Linked DNA regions of Oryzias latipes. The protein of the gene in region 2 purifies or fractionates together with the protein of the main gene of each other region. This does not show direct contact. Links are inferred from orthologs where the notes say so. Each region holds a gene or a part of one and is shown on either strand. Other genes may lie near its edges.

The links. Proteins that work in one complex are often made in the same cells at the same time.
Region 1: the proteins of dis3l (region 2) and exosc3 purify together in Homo sapiens (affinity purification with mass spectrometry; 6 studies listed by BioGRID and IntAct, counting the BioPlex papers as one, with this or other methods). This does not show direct contact. The link is inferred for Oryzias latipes from reciprocal best matches to the Homo sapiens genes DIS3L and EXOSC3.
Region 3: the proteins of dis3l (region 2) and exosc9 purify together in Homo sapiens (affinity purification with mass spectrometry; 3 studies listed by BioGRID and IntAct, with this or other methods). This does not show direct contact. The link is inferred for Oryzias latipes from reciprocal best matches to the Homo sapiens genes DIS3L and EXOSC9.
Region 4: the proteins of dis3l (region 2) and exosc4 purify together in Homo sapiens (affinity purification with mass spectrometry; 5 studies listed by BioGRID and IntAct, with this or other methods). This does not show direct contact. The link is inferred for Oryzias latipes from reciprocal best matches to the Homo sapiens genes DIS3L and EXOSC4.

The regions. Positions count from the first base shown.
Region 1 is NC_019868.2:3,163,418-3,167,685, forward strand, and holds the start of exosc3 (exosome complex component RRP40), read left to right. Parts: upstream 1-1,461; 5' UTR 1,462-1,493; coding exon 1,494-1,736; intron 1,737-4,057; coding exon 4,058-4,207; intron 4,208-4,268. UniProt on the Homo sapiens protein: Non-catalytic component of the RNA exosome complex which has 3'->5' exoribonuclease activity and participates in a multitude of cellular RNA processing and degradation events.
Region 2 is NC_019861.2:569,732-574,018, reverse strand, and holds the start of dis3l (DIS3-like exonuclease 1), read right to left. Parts: upstream 2,803-4,287; 5' UTR 2,515-2,802; coding exon 2,385-2,514; intron 347-2,384; coding exon 196-346; intron 1-195. UniProt on the Homo sapiens protein: Catalytic component of the RNA exosome complex which has 3'->5' exoribonuclease activity and participates in a multitude of cellular RNA processing and degradation events.
Region 3 is NC_019859.2:5,412,183-5,416,278, forward strand, and holds the start of exosc9 (exosome complex component RRP45), read right to left. Parts: upstream 2,808-4,096; 5' UTR 2,366-2,807; coding exon 2,300-2,365; intron 1,871-2,299; coding exon 1,776-1,870; intron 1,694-1,775; coding exon 1,574-1,693; intron 1,490-1,573; coding exon 1,387-1,489; intron 1,316-1,386; coding exon 1,178-1,315; intron 1,105-1,177; coding exon 1,022-1,104; intron 1-1,021. UniProt on the Homo sapiens protein: Non-catalytic component of the RNA exosome complex which has 3'->5' exoribonuclease activity and participates in a multitude of cellular RNA processing and degradation events.
Region 4 is NC_019875.2:26,759,981-26,763,696, forward strand, and holds exosc4 (exosome complex component RRP41), read right to left. Parts: upstream 2,263-3,716; 5' UTR 2,199-2,262; coding exon 2,028-2,198; intron 1,273-2,027; coding exon 1,066-1,272; intron 981-1,065; coding exon 624-980; 3' UTR 508-623; downstream 1-507. UniProt on the Homo sapiens protein: Non-catalytic component of the RNA exosome complex which has 3'->5' exoribonuclease activity and participates in a multitude of cellular RNA processing and degradation events.

The DNA of each region.
Region 1 (4,268 bases), on a different chromosome or scaffold from region 2:
AGTAGGTGATCAGAAAGACACCGCCAATAAAGGAGTAGTTCTGCAAGTGATGACCACAGACAACTTCTCTGTCCTTATGTTTTCTGGTTGACGGTTTCTACGGTGTCTACAACCCACAGAAGTGGCCCAGGAAGTGCAACTCATCCAGGATGGCACATCAATGCAAGCTGTAGCCAGGTTTGCTGTGTAGAAGTTCCATCAGGAGACAGGCTAGTACATCAGGAGATGTGGAGAAGGCCATAGAAGGGGGGCCAACCCTGCATCAGGACCACTGCCTCCTCCTTTGTGCAAGGAGAAACGGGAAGAGGCCTGCAAAATAACCTCCAGTTGACCACAAATGTGCACGTCTGCTCAGAATGGTAGAAACAGACTCCATGAGGTCGCCAGGTGGGAGTTGTGTTGACAGCCCAAAACCGTGCGAGACATTTGACATTTGCTGTAGAACACCAAGCTTGGCATAGTCACTGTTGACACAGTCTGGAGATGCGGTGGAGAATGCTCTGCTGCCTGCAATATTGTCCAACATGAGCGCTTTGGCAATGGGTCAGGTATGGTTTGGGGCGGCATTTCTTTGGAGTGCCACACAGCCCTCCATGTGCTCACCAGAGGTAGCCTGACTGTCATTAGGTACTGAGATGAGATTCTCTGACCCCTTGTGAGACCGCATGTTGGTGCGATTGGCCCTGGGTTCCTCCTAAAGTAAGACAGTGCTAGGCCTCATGTGGCTGGAGTGTCAGCAGTTTCTGCCAGACGAAGCTAATGATGTCATGGACTGGCCCGCACACTTTCCAGACCTGAATGCAATTGAGCACATCGGGGACATCATGTCTCGTCCATCCACTAACTCCTGGTTGCACCCCAGACTGTCCAGGAGTTAGCAGATGCTTTGGTCCAGGCGTCAGAGAAGATCCCTTGGAGGACCACCCGCTGCCTCATCAGAAGCGTACCCAGGCATTGCAGGGGAATCATATGGGCATGTGGAGGCCACGCCCACTACTGAGCCTCATTTTGACTTGTTTCAAAGAAATTACATTGAAGTTGGATCAGCATGTAATGTTCACACATCCAGACATCCATAGCCGAATAGTTTTAATTTCCATTACTATTTTTATTTTATTGTGTTGTCAGGACATGCAAATATGTAAAGAATGAAGCATTTCAAAAGAATATTTCATTTGTTCAGGCATAGCATGTCTTTTTTAGTGCTCCTAAATCGTTTGAGTTGTGTACGTGTGTGTGGGTGTGTCTGTGTGTTACACTATTGAGACATTTTTATACTACTTTTTGTTTCTGTAGAAAATTATTTTACCTTTTTTCAAAGACGATTATTTTAGAGGAAATTTGGTGAGACCTGGATTTATCCAAAACGTTTTGAAAGGTGTGTCCTTTAAACAGGAAAATTCTTATAATTTAGAAAGCGCTATTGTTCCTCCTGGTCACCAGGGGGCGCAAAGTAAGGATCTGATATAAACAACAAAAAGAAGAAGACGACCATGAGCACGACAGGAGGCATGTTCGCCGTTCTGAAGGAGAAAGTTGGACAGGTTCTGGTTCCGGGGGACGAGTTCTGCTTTGGTGCAGAGGAAACGATCTCTCTGTCGGAGAGCGCGAAGCCGGAGCGCGCGGTGTGTGGACCAGGGCTGCGGCGGAGCGGAGACCGCCTGGTGGTGATGAAGAGCGGCGTGCTGCGGCACAAACCGCCGCTCACCTTCTGGATCGATTCCCAGCAGAAGCGGGTAAGAGCGGACCGGTCCGAACCAAAGGTTCTGAGATCCCAACAAACTGCGTTCAGCGGTCCAGAGACGTGTTTAGAGCATTAATGTGAAGCGGTCCGGTCACAACCAGCATTCAAACACAACTTTATTGATAGCACTTCCTGATGAAATCCACCTCAAGTGCTTTATATAACAAATAGTAAAAATATCAGTTACAAATAACAAAGTATAATCAAATAAAAACCAAATACGCGTCAAGCTAATACATCAAAATAAACTAAATTAATTATTTATCAAATTAAAACATATGGACTGATACAGAGATATGGGTTTTGATTCGATGCACTCAACTAACCAAGAATTTAAAAAAATCCACACATGATCTGCGTATTTTCAATTTAGACCCAGATTATTTATGCAAACACAAGTTTCATTTTTGCAAACTTGTGTTTGCTTAAATAATGTACTTTGTTGTGAATAAATGTGTCCGCGTGCGTTCGTTCCATTGATCCTTAGGACAGTGTTTTTCAACCTTTTTTGAGCCACGGCACACTTTAACCCTGAAAAAAATCCCGCGGCACACCATCATCCAAAAAAAAAAAAAAAAGCAGAAATTCATGGTCTGTATTGATCGACAGCGCCCCCCCCCCCCGCAATCTCACGTGAATTTTTGTGATAATTGTGGCAGAAAAAGCAGGAATTTGCGGCTGTTTTTTTCTAAGAGATGAACCACCAGCTAAAGCTCGTCTTTAGCTGGTATATTTGTTAGAACTGAGCGACTTTATCAGCAGAATTAAGAACAAGGAAGTGAAGACTTTAAGCACTTCTGATTGGTCAGACTGATGACATGTGATTAAGCCTTCAAGAATGATTGGCGGAGACAGTTAAAGGGGCGGGACTTTTCCTTACACAGTTAGAGCTGCAGCTAAATCGCGGTACCGTGATTTTTATCAAAATCTCTTTAATAGAATTAAATAAACACAAAGAAAAAGTAATTTTAAGATCTTTTATATTCCTAACTACTCAGTGTTTTATCAGGGCCTGTTTGGATGAACACAGAGCTGAAATCCTGGAGATGGAAAATGTTTTTAGATCAGTTAATGAGGGCAATTTCTCCACGGCGCACTTGACCATCTCCCACGGCACACTAGTGTGCCGCGGCACACTGGTTGAAAAACACTGCCTTAGGAGAATCGTAGTGTGACGTCACCCATACAAATGGCTTACTGGCTCAAAGATGAAACAAACAGAGATGCTTGTCCTCCCCGAGCAGCAGCAGGTGAGCAGCAGAGTAGAGAACCGCCCCGTGTACTGATGATGGGTTGGTTGGCAGTGAAACATCTCTAAAGTCGGATCTTGGCGTTTACTATATTATTTCACCCATTTTGACTTAATTATTCTCTGTGCTGCACATGACTGCGTCTCTGGTCAGCGTGAGTTGGCGCTCAATGCACTCTGCAGGTGGGTGCTGGGGTGGTGTTGGTCCAGTAGACCTGCAGCTGCTCAGAACTGCACAAACGCCAGACGTATAGAGAGAGAGACAGGCACAACTCATTGTCATGGAATACCTTAAGTCAGAGAAAATGAACATGGAGGCATTAAATAATTCTTTGTGTTTTTAAAAGAGTGGATTCGACAGATGTGATCATAGGCGTAACTGATTTGTTTCCACATCTCACTTTGAGCAGTGGCCTATAGACCACATGTGTTGTAACTTTTTTGTGTATTTTTTCACATTGTTGTCTGAATTCTAATAAAACCAGGTTATGTCTTGAGCCAGGTTCAAATTTGCACAAGGTCATTTCTCTGAATATAAAGTTATATGAATGACAAGAGGATCTTGTTTGTGAAAACTGTTTTTTGCCTTGAGAATCTGTATGTGAGAGGAAAAAAAGTGGAGTAACCGGTAGGCAATTACCGTACTAAATAGGTGAGTAAAGTAATTTAATTACAATTTTGTAACACTAAGTAAACAGTTACTTTTTAGAAGTCATTTTCCCAACACTGATGCCAATATGACGTCACCCGTTTCCCTAAATAGAAAGGTAATAAATATGAACATTTTATGACGACTTTATGAATCTACTGTGTTCTGATGATGAAAACCTAATGGTTTATAAAAAATAGTGGCCAATCAGGAGTGAGCTTGTTTGAAGGTCACACCCCTATCACTTGAAAGCAGGCTACATAAAATCTGTCAAATGTTTCACACATTCAATGTGAGAAGTTATGTCAATGGGATTTTGGCTTCTTGGAGCCAGCGGGTTCTTCCTGTTTGGAGCATGAGGAGGGAGGGGTCCTTCAGTCCAGTTCTCGAATAGTCAATGGTTTGTTCTCCTCAGTATGTCGCCACTAAAGGGGAGACCGTGATCGGGATCGTGACGGCCCGAGCAGGAGACACCTTCAGGGTGGACTTTGGCGGCAGCGAGCTGGCGTCTCTGTCTTACCTGGCGTTTGAAGGAGCCACCAAGCGAAACCGACCCAACGTCCAGGTGAGTGTGGGTGGGGCTCTGTGTGCAGTCTGCTGTGTGCAGTCACTCCAAGGAGCCACTC
Region 2 (4,287 bases):
AGCTGGCGTCCTAAAGGATGTATCTAGCATCCTGAAGGGTGTATCTAGCGTCCTGAAGGGTGTAGCTAGCATCCTGAAGGGTGTATCTAGCGTCCTGAAGGGTGTATCTAGCGTTCTGAAGGGTGTAGCTAGTGTCCTAAAGGATGTATCTAGCGTTCTGAAGGGCGTAGCTAGCGTCCCGTAGCCTGCTTGTACCTGCGGCCCTTGCTGTGCAGCGCCTGGCAGGCGGTCTGGGTGAAGATGATGCCCTGCAGCTCCTTGAGCTCCAGGATCTCCAGGTAGTCGACCACCACGTCTGCGTCCGGCATCACATAGTGGGTCAAGTCTCCAGGCAGAACTTTGACACCTGTTTCGTTGAGAAGAACGTTTCTGTTTTATTTTCATAGAAAGATGATCTTCTGTCAAAAACTTTTCATGCAAAAAATTAAAAGCGTACTATTTGTTGAAATTACTCCTATTTGAAATAAGAACGTGTCCGTTCACACGTAACTTTCGAAATATGTCCAGTGCTGAACTTTACGTGCGAATAACATCAACCTTTAAATAAATTAACATTTTATACATTTGTTTCAAATGTATTAAAGTACCACTGCGGTGAAGTTAGTTGTTGGATATTCGACAGACATTCAGCGGGTTGTCCAGTGTGGACTCTTAGGGACCGTCAACAAATTAACGACTGCATGAGATGGAGAGGAATTTAACTTTGCAAAAATAAAAATAAATAAATTACTATAAACCTTTTCTCATTTTGTGTCTTAATCTATTTCTTTTGCAACTTTTTAATGGGAAAAATTTTGCAATCATAGATGCTCAATATTTTATAAGAAAACTGTTTGAAGGAAAGATTTTTTTTATTGCTTCCTAACTGTGTGATGTTATGATTGCAAATATATAAAAAAAATATGGCTCCAACATACAACATACACACATTTTATAAAGAAATTCTATTAAATATTTTTACAAAAATTCCTGCATTTCGCAAATTCTGTTGAGTTTTTTCAATAGCTTCCAAACCACATCACCCAAAAACATGAAACCTCTGCCAAATTGTTCTTCTGACATCAAACGCCAATTTGTTTAGGAATTAAAGATGACACAAATCTTACATTACTTTTTGTTTTAAAATTACAGCTGTTCACATCTAAAATCTAATCGTTTCTTCAATAGCTCCCAAACCGCCTGACCCAAAGATATAAAACCAATGTCGAATTGTTGTACTGACATTCCAACATCAGACACACACCTTTTTGTTTTGTAATCAAAGATGTTATATGTTTTATATGAATTATCTTTGGGTCAGTTGGTTTGGGAGCTATTGAAAAAGATGACCAGCTTTCATATGCAAACCTCTGGAATTTTTATATAAAAATTCATAAAAAATATATAACATCTTTGATTACAAAAGAAAGAGGTGTGTCTGATGTTGGAATGTCAGTACAACAATTTGGAATAGGTTTTATATCTTTGGGTCAGGCGGTTTGGGAGCTATTGAAAGAAATGACCAGCTTACATATGCAAACCTCTGGAATTTATCAAATATTGAGCATCTTTGATTGAAAAAACATTTCCCATTAAAACGTTGCAAAAGAAATAGATTATTTAGACACAACATGAGAAGATGTCTTATAGTAATTTATTTATCTTTGCAAAGCATTTAGTTTTGGGTTTGATCTAAAATCTTCTCCATCTCATGGCCTTGTTCATTTGTTGACGGTCCCTTAGAGACCCCACTGGAGCTCCGCGCTGAACGTCTGTCGAATATCCAACCTGACACTAACTTCACCGCAGTTATTTGAAAGTATCGTCAGTGTCATGGCAGCTTCTCCGAGCCCGCCAACTTTTACTCAGCGGGATCGATCACTGACAGAGACGGACTAGCAGGCTCGGGTTCGGTGTGTCTGTTCGTGTTCGGGTTTGGCGCTCTTGTTTGGGTTCGGTGCTCGTGTTGGGTTCGGTGTTCGTGTTGGGTTCGGTGCTCGTGTTGGGTTCGGTGTTCGTGTTTGGGTTCGGTGCTCGTGTTGAGTTCGGTGTGTGTTCGTGTTTGGCGCTCGTGTTGGGTTCGGTGCTCGTGTTGAGTTCGGTGTGTGTTCGTGTTTGGGTTCGGCGCTCTTGTTTGGGTTCGGTGCTCGTGTTGGGTTCGGGTTCGGTGTTCGTGTTTGGGTTCGGTGTGTGTTCGTGTTTGGGTTCGGTGCTCGTGTTGAGTTCGGTGCGTCTGTTCGTGTTTGGGTTCGGCGCTCTTGTTTGGGTTCGGTGCTCGTGTTGGGTTCGGGTTCGGTGTTCGTGTTTGGGTTCGGTGTGTGTTCGTGTTTGGGTTCGGTGCTCGTGTTGAGTTCGGTGTGTGTTCGTGTTTGGGTTTGGCGCTCGTGTTCGGTTCGGAGGACTACCGTTAGCACAGTCCGCCTGGCATAGGGAGCTGAAACAGGGGACCCGCTCTCTGAGGTAATGCTCCCGAACCACTCGAACCTTCCTCCCGCGGAACCTCCTCAGATGTAGAATCCTCTCCGTCTTTATCATCCTGAACTGCAGAGAGCCGCTCCTGTTAGCCAGAGCTTCATTGACGGACCGGAAGTACACGTCACATGACGTAGTCCCGCCTGTCGTCGTGATGACGTCAGGTCACAACTGCGTTCAAGTCTCAAGAAAAACAGACTCGCAAAACGGCAAGAATGACTTTATAAACCGCCACACCACATTGTGATCAAAGCTTCCGACTTTGGTCCAAATGTTCAAGTTCAGCTTCCGTCTCTGTTGTTTGATGGTCGACCGGTTCATTTAAAACTTCCAAACTCATTTATAGGATCTTTGTTTGTTTCCAACATCTTACAAAAATCATTCTATGTCACAGCTTTACACAAAAGAAGAAATAATCAAGTTAAGATCTCAGTTTATTAAATATCCCATTTTTCCAAAATACAAAGAAATCCATTTTAAAATACTGAATGCAGTCTATCCATGCAAGGAATTATTACATACATGTTTTGGTTTACCAGAGAATAACTGTTCTCTCTGTGACATAAATATAGAATCACTTGATCATCTGTTCTTTGTATTCATACGTTTACAGTTTTTGGGAGGATTTTTTTTCTTGGTTCCTCAAATTTTCCTTTTCCTATTTCTATTCAATTACAAAAGCAGATATTATTTGGATTGTTTCTGGTGATAATCTATTTGATTTGACATTCAATACCTTATTAATATCTGGGACATTTTTCATTCATAAGAGCAGATTTTCAAAAATCAAACCATTATTCAATACATTTCATAAAGAGATCAGTTTATATTTTCAATCTCTGAAATTAATAAAAAACAAAAATGGAATAAAATTGTCTATTTTCATTGAAGATCACATGTTTTATGACAATCACTAGTATTGTAAACTACAATTTTTATTTTGTTTCTTTAGTTTTATTTTATTTTGTATATTATTCTTTTTTTATTTATTTCTGTTGTAGTTATGTGTATATGTTTGTTTGAAGTTCAATAAAAAAATAAAATAAAGACTTAATGACAAGTATAATTAAATTATAATTATAAATTATTGGCCATAATAGAAAAACATCACATTCACAAGTGTAAAAACAGTAACCAGAAACCCAGGTTTGCACACTATTTATATATATATATATATATATATATTTATATATATATATATATATATATATAAATATATATATATATACTATATACAGTATATATTATATTAACCATATGAAAGCATTGAAAACACTTAATATTTATCAAAGTCATGGTTTGTTTGAGTTTATATTGTTTTTTATGGTATGCTGACTGTACTAATAATATACATATGAATAATAATAATAAAGACAAGTACATCAAACCGAGGGGAAATAAATAGTTACATCAGATAAAATAATAACATAATCCTCATCCCCATTTTGTATGTGAAGTTCAAAGATCCTGTGTACATTTCAGTAATATCAAATGGTTAAAAAAAATCATGAGCAATTCAACACTGGAGCCATTTAGTGTTAAAATGAGCACTTTAATACATTTAAATTCAGATTCTTAGACATTTCACACATTGGTCAAAAAATGCGATACGTTCTTTAAAAGAAATAAAACTATCTGTGTCTCTGGAGTCATTTTCAATGTAAAAAGATCTGCAGGCTATTGAACGCAGGACTGGACCAGCCCTTCAGCGGTACGCACGCATTCTCACTCCTATGGTCACACTGCTGCTCGTTTGATCACACTCCGGGCCAGTGGGGTATCTGGATGAACGCTTGCTCCCTTTCGTCAAAAGTATTTGTTCTCATTTTTGGGGAG
Region 3 (4,096 bases), on a different chromosome or scaffold from region 2:
TTGAGCTCCATGCCTGGTTCACTTCTCCTCTCTGTTCTGGACTCGCGGTTGCTAGGCGACGGGACATTCGCAGATGCAACGGCTGGAATAATTCAAACGGTTAGGCTCATCCAAATTCACAGCTGTTCACATCCGGCCTATTGTAGTTAATTAAAGGTAGTTTATTGAAGGAAGCAGCCCTCGAATTTGGACACACCATGAATCTCACTAAAGACCCACTTTGATGAAAGTGGTGTTTATAACGTGTTCTTGTAGTGTTTTCTCATGATTGAAGACATAGAAAAAGAAGATTTAGCTAAAAATTGCATTTCTGAGAATTTTTTTTGTAATTAGGAGCTGACAAAATATGCAGTTGGAAAAACCCTTTTAACACGTTACTACGGCAAGCCAGAAGCTCCCAGCTCTGTACAGATCCACGTACGTCTCTATGTCTCACCGGCAATGCTACCTTGGGTTTGAGAGGGGGCTGTAAGCTAGCCAGAGAGCCTGTAAAAAGATTTATGATGGGGAAGGGGGGCGGGGTTACTCCACACCAAAACTCCCGCCCCACAAGACAACTGCAGCCGCTCTGCAGAAACTATGTCCTAGAAAACGATACAGGTTTTGTGATTTTGCCTAAAAAAACATAATTAAAAAGACCACTGCGATCAAAAGATGATCAGAGTTCACGATGCCGTCGAAAGTAGTTGTGTGAGTTAAGACAAACCAATAGAAACACTTGTTTGTCAGCTTAAAATGTTTCTTTAAAGAGCCTGGAAGCCTAAATGTGGGAATATCTTGCCTCCTGCTCAAAATGACGCCCTATTCCGCTGCGTAAAATGTCGTGATGCGTTCATGGTCGGCAGATTTTGAGTAGGACGTTTATTTGGAGAAAAAAAACAAGCTTGAATTAAAATAATAAAAAATAAATTCCGATCAAGTCTGAAACTGTGATTTCCGATCATGTGATCTCCAATTGATAGTTTGAATAGTGAGTTTATGGTCAGGAGTTGGGGATGAATCAGGAGAAGTGGATTATTACCCTTGTTGGAAGAAGGAGAAGCTGACACTAATGGGCATGTGGTAGATGCTAAGAGGAATGGGATCCCTCTCCTCTGGGCTGTACTGAAACGGGAAAAGCAACAATGTAAACCGACAGATGAGAAAACGCCGCCTCCTGCTGGGGCTGCTCCCTCACCACCGTGACCTCCTCTCCCTGGACGGCTACGTCGGGCCGCCTGAAATGGCACAGAGCGGCGATGGCGGCGATGCTGGAGGCGTCCATCAGGTTCCCGTCGTTGTTCAGCATGTGGACATCCACCCTGATCTGCCACACCTGGGCGAACACACGCGTTTCAGAGGAAAGCAGACGTCGCTTTGCGAGTCGCACAGGTTTGTGGGAATGACCTTTTCTCCGGACACCACGCACAGGGACTCCGTGTCGATGCACTTGGAGTTCCTCAGGCATCTTTCCAACTGTCTGTTCAGCTTCACGGACAGCTCCGACTGTCTGGATGTGGCGAAACAACAAAAAATGAGCCACACAGAGACAATCGAGGCACAAAACTATAAGGTCATGTGATCCAAAACCAACCTTCCCTGCTCGAAAGCTGGCGAGGCCAGAGGTGACAGCTCGATGTTAAAAAACATGATTCCCTCATTCGGGCGGCTCTCCTTTGGTGCAACCAGCTCACAAGATACCTGGGCCATGACCCTGAAAACACAAAGCTCCGATGACTGAGCGACATCAAACGCACCACGTCCGGTTTTCCCCACAAAGAGAACCTGGGGCTCACCTGGTTTGTCCCAAATCCACAAAGCAGCAGCCGTAGTCCGTCCCAAAGCTGATCTTGATCTTTCTGTAGTCGTAGGTCTGCCGTCCGTCCAGACGCTGCACGGAAAAAAAGACAACGTGATAGTTTTCCCTTAAACTCTTCCCATCTCACTTTTTCTATTCAGTCACCAGCAGAGAGTGAAGCAGTTAGGCTGGATATGAATATATTAAAAAAAACACAGAAATATATTTTTCTCACATTATAATATCCAGATTGTCACTAAGACGAGCAGCATACGGAACCTTGCAGTGATCAAGGCCACAGAAGTACAAAAATTAATCAATTAAATGCACAGTTTTTGTATTAAAATCAGTAAATCAATCATTGATGCTGCAAAAGTCGCATTTTTCCCTCTTCTCTTGAAGATTTCTAAATTAAACCACCTTCCCGGAGTTTTACCGAACTGTTAAACAACTACGCTTTTAATAAAATGTTGTTGTACACAGTAGTCATCAGGGAACTGTTACCGAGGAACGAAAACAAACCTTTTTCTCCTCGATGGCTTTCAGTATAAAGTCCCGCTCGCAGGCGGACAGCGGTGTTTCTTTCATCGTGTGGATTTCAGGCTGTTTGGAGTTATTTTGAAATGATTAGATTCTTTGAAAACCACGCGGGCACGTTTATGTTTATCCGGTTCTAGGCGCGCATGCGCAGCTGTGTACGTTTTACGACAGTAAAGGCTCGAATATGGTTTGAGTCCAATGCTGGATTAAACATGGTTTTAATGTTAAAAATTATCTTAATTTTGAATTGTAGCATTTTATTTATGGTTTCGTACAAATTCATATTATTTCAAACTAAATAGATGGAAACAGAAGACGCCAGCATCAAATACACAGCAGGTTGAATCAACCAATTATTTGTTTTCACATTAAAGGCAACAATTATTTCAGTACAAGAAATAATTTTGTATTATTTTACAAACCCAAAAATATATCCTTATAATTTATATAAAATATCTGCATTTCCTGCGGTCAGACGAGTGTAAAAAGTGTTTACGACAGTTGCGATCGGTGCTGCGTTGGGGTCAACTTGGAAATTACATTGTTCAAGTTTTTGTCTTCTGCAATATAATTGGTTTTGTATTTTAACTTGACAATTTTTTAAGAATACATTTAATACACGTGCTTAATTAACTGCATAAAAATACTAAAAGAAATGATAAATGTGTATACAAAGAATTTCAATCCCTTGATCTTTGCAAATTCTATTTGGCTGTCAAATTTATTTAATATTAAACATTGAATAAATGTTTGCTGTTTGTTTAGTTTGTCTTAACATAAACATAAGAAATGTAAAGGGGAACTTCTTTTAAGCTCAAGCCATTTTCCCCCAATTAAAGTCCTGTAGACTTGAATTCTAAATACATGTTTTTCTTTTTCTTCCTCTATGAATATAACCTTTGACTAACAATGCATTCAATTTTCTGTATTTACAAATATATACAACCAAAGCTGTGTTCTGTTTATTAAAGAATAAATTATTTTTTATGTATTGTTAAATCAAATATTAACCAATCACACCACATTTTCCTTATATGGCAATTAAAAATAGCCAGTAGTACATCTTAAAAGCTTTTTATGTTCATCGGTCTGAAAAAAAAGGAAACAGATGTGAACAAATCCTTGATGATGTTATTTAAAAAAATTATAACAAGCATGCATAAAAACAAATGAGCGAATGACAGCTTGGGTTCGGATTTTTGGCTTGAGCATTTGAACGCATCAGTCGTGCTTCCCCTTCTGTGTCTACTGCGCACGTCCAGTACCGTTATACGGGCTAACTGTCACTCACGGTCCATCCATCCAGCCGTGTTTCCCCTCCGTTTCTCAAGGGAGACTCCGCTCTTCAACCTCAGATCACTCTTGTGCCCTTCTCCGTAGGGCAGAACACAACAACAACCATTTTCAAATATAATAACGAGCTGCAAGAGAGGACGTAAGGACGGTTTGTGTGCGCACGCTCATTCACTCCACTCCATTCATCATGGGCGCGCGCGCGCGCGCAACGTTGTGGCTAGCAAGCTAGCGTTTGTTTTTCATTCATTCGTGGTCTTCAGATAAAACGTTTTATCTTTTCTGTTGTATCACGTTAAATGTCTGCTGCCTCTTGTTTTGCGTCAGCGCGTGCTTACATCCGTCTTCCGCGCGTGTTCGGGTGTCAGCGAAGCTCGTGTTGCGCTAACTTGTGGCGGTCCTGCTGTGTTAGCTGTAGCCCGCGGAGCAGGTGCTGCGGCCGGGGCAGTTCAGGGACAGTCTGGGCTCTGCGCTGCTCCCCGGCAG
Region 4 (3,716 bases), on a different chromosome or scaffold from region 2:
AAAGTTACTTTAAAAAGTAAGTTACATTAATACCAATTTTGTTTCAGCAGGTAAAGAAAATGATAGATTATTCAGCCTCAACGGACTGAAACTCTTACAAAACATGTATTGTATTGTGACATAAAAATTACTTTTACAACAAACAAAAGCAAAAGCAGAATAGCCTGTCTGCAAAACAAATCAAAGAAAATTAATCTAAAAAAAAAAGACTAAACACATGAACAGAGCATTTCATTCAGGAATAAAAAGTATTGTTTTGGTGAAAATTTGTAAGATATCAACACAGCTAAATAAATTGGATATAAGAATTATCTAATTTTTCACAAATTGTTTACTCTTACGGATGTGTGGTTTAAAATAAAGGTTCTTATTGTATCAGTCTGAAAACAAAGCTTTATTATCTGTTTATATATAAAATGCTGATGTTGCTGTTTCAGTTGATCACATTGATTTTTGCATCAAAAACAGGTCAGTTTTCAGCTAATAAAACAAATGCAAATACAAAGAAACGATATACATTCACATTTATTCTTTATGCACAAATATACTTAATAAAATGTTAAGAATGACGACAAAATAAGTGTTGATCCCAGGAAACCATTTGTTTACTCTTTCCTTCACCATTATTCTCTGAGCGTAGAACCTTCTTGGAGATGTTGCCTGACCACCTGGTCCAGGACTTTGCTCACACCTTTACAAGCGGTCATTGCCGCCTCAATCAGAGTGTCGAGGTGATCCTGATGCAGTCTGGCATCCATCTGGACCAGAGCGATCTGCCCTCCGCGGGGCAGAAGCGCCAAAGCCAGAGAGCTCACTCCTCCGCTCTCCTCTGCGTAGCAAAGATCGGCAAGAGAGGTTTCATCCACGAAGCCCACTGTGCAGGCGCACACATAGTCCCTCATCGGTATCCCTGCGTCGATCACTGCCAGTGTGGCGGCGTTCACACAAACGCTGTAGTTCCCCCCGTCGGACTGAAGAATCTTGAATGATGAAAACGTTCTTAAAACAATGACGAAAACAGATGCTATGAAGTAGAGCGCAGTATACTATAAATCTAAGGCCAACCTTGACATAGATGTCTATCTGGGAGCGTGGGTAGAGCTGGGTCAGCACGGCAGCTTCAAACGTTTGCTTGAGGTGAAGGCTCATTTCTGTGGACTTGCGGTCTCCGTGCGGTCTCCTCTTCCTCTCCGCCGTGCTGAAGGTGGCCATGCTGTACTGGCAGTTGATAATGGCTCTGTCATGAAGAGCCCGACTACGAGCACCTCGAATCTGAATGGGAAACAGGAAGTAAGCATAGGAGAACCATAAAAAAGGTCTGACATTTTTCACAGGGCGGCATACATCTGTCCTTTGAGTAAAACAGCTTTTTAATCCATCATCAGAGGTAAACCAGACAATAAAAACGCCAGACATGGGAGAGTTTGAGGTCAACGGCACAGATGAGCAAAAACAACATCTCAGGTTTTCCATCAGAAATATCGATGTTCTACAAGATTTAGGAAAGACTTTCAGGACAGAAAAGATAACCGTGAAACATTTTGGGTGATGTGCCTCGCATCACTCTAGTGTAAAACATTGCACAAACAGTCAAACATGGTGGTAATGGTGTCATGGTAAGGGGCTGTTATATTTGGGGCTTGGAATACTTTTGGTAAATGAATAAATTAACCAACAAATCCTCAAATTAACTTGGATTTCTCAGCAAGTCAAAGATTCAAAAGCAGTAAGTTTACCTCAGAATAGCATAACAAGTTCAAAAACTCTTGAATGCAGTTGTTAGTAAGTACTGTGTGACCGAGCCAGATAAGTAAACATTTTGTGTTACTGATACAATAAAATGCTTTGAAGGAAACGTATTATACTAAAATCATTACATTAATGTAAAATATCCCTTTAAATCTGACACATTACATAGAAATATCTTAATCCTTCATTAAACGCAGTTTGCACCGTTTCTTTGGCTGCCATGAACAGACTGGTGGTGTTGTTTTTACGTCACTTCTCCACGCGCGCGCGCCACTCACTTCATGCGGGCCGTAAACCACCGCCAGAGCTTTGGTGTTTCCTTGCTCCAGATACGCGGAACCGTCGGCCTGAGCGAACACCCCCATGCGGGCCTGGACTTTGCGCAGCTCGGTAGCTTTTCTTCCATCCAACCGGTATCCTTGATCAGACAGCAGCTCCAGACCCGCCATTTTCCCTAGCTTAACTACACGACAACACACGTGTCTACTGATGTACTACATTAACCATCATCCTCTTCGAGCAGTTACAGCAACGTCGGAAGAAAGTGTCGCAAAAAAGATTTCCATATTTATTTTACTTAGATGGTTTAGTAACAACTTCTTACTGGAAAAGTAGCCTAACGAAACATTTAGAAAGCCTTTTTTCTTATTTTATATTATTTTTAAATCTAACTGATACGTCAGAACAAAAGAAGTAGATAAATGCGGAACTACTAGTACGCGAGTCAAAACTAATTAATAAAATAAATTAAAATCAGGAGCTGAGAAATTACACACGGCATGCAGTTTTTACATTTAAGAATTCTGACTTTAATCTCACGACTCCGATTTTTAATTTAAAATTACAAGATAAAATAAGACTTTAAGCATTTTAAGTTTTAGGAATTCAGATTTATAAATATTTTCAACACAATAAACACTTCATTTAATGTCAGAGTATTGACATAATCTGATAAAGATTAATCATGATTTTAATAACTATTGTTTTTTCTTGGGAATGTCAATTTTAAAATACTGTCTTTAAATATAGAATTTTGATATTAGAGTACAGCAACATTTTCTGAAATTACTATAAGAATTCTTTAAAGGACACCTGCAGATTTTCTCATTTTCTTTTATTTTATTAATTTTTGCCCCTGACATCTTGACAAGTTTTACAGGCGCTGCAGTTTGTTTTATCTTCTGTCTGAAATCAGAACCCAAGTCAAAGTATATTTATTTTTCCAAAACATCTTGGTTTTCAAATTTTAAAAAGTAAATCCAGTGTTAATCTTTTTAAATAAAATGTTTTAGCATTTTTGTAAATTATACAGAAGATATATTTTCATTTCTGATGTTAAAAAGGATTCAATTCTATTGTCATTTATTTTTCTAGTTTAATTTTAATATTTTTGAGCGCCAATCGTTCGTGATCATTTTAAATCAGATCAACATCTTTCACTTTTTCATATTTAAAAAAAAATTTGTGTTAAAGCATTTGATAATTTACAAATATGAAGTAGACTTACCTTGTAATGCCATATTTAAAATAAGTTTTTTGTGTGTTTTTAAATTGATTACAGAGTAAAGCTTTTCACCTTTTAAAACGTGTTTAAATTGACTACATTTTGGCCTGCTTTGTTAATATTTCAGTCACACAAACTGCCTGCCAGCATTTCACTTTAAAGCTTTTATCAGATCTCAGACGACATTCCAGCCTCATCTTCCATCTCTTCATTCTGTTTGTTGCTTCATTTGTTGTCTTTTTACCTTTAGATTTGCTTTAATATCGCATTTAACATCAAAATCCTTTCCATCGATAAAGGTATGAAGATGAAGATGAAAAGATGAAGCCTAAGAAAAGGAGTACAACTCAAACCTCAAGAGTTTTAAAAATAAAATTTATTAGCATCTCTAATGTGTATAAATAAAAACATATATGAAACAATGCATATACGTATAATGCAATGAGCTCAACAATAACAAGAT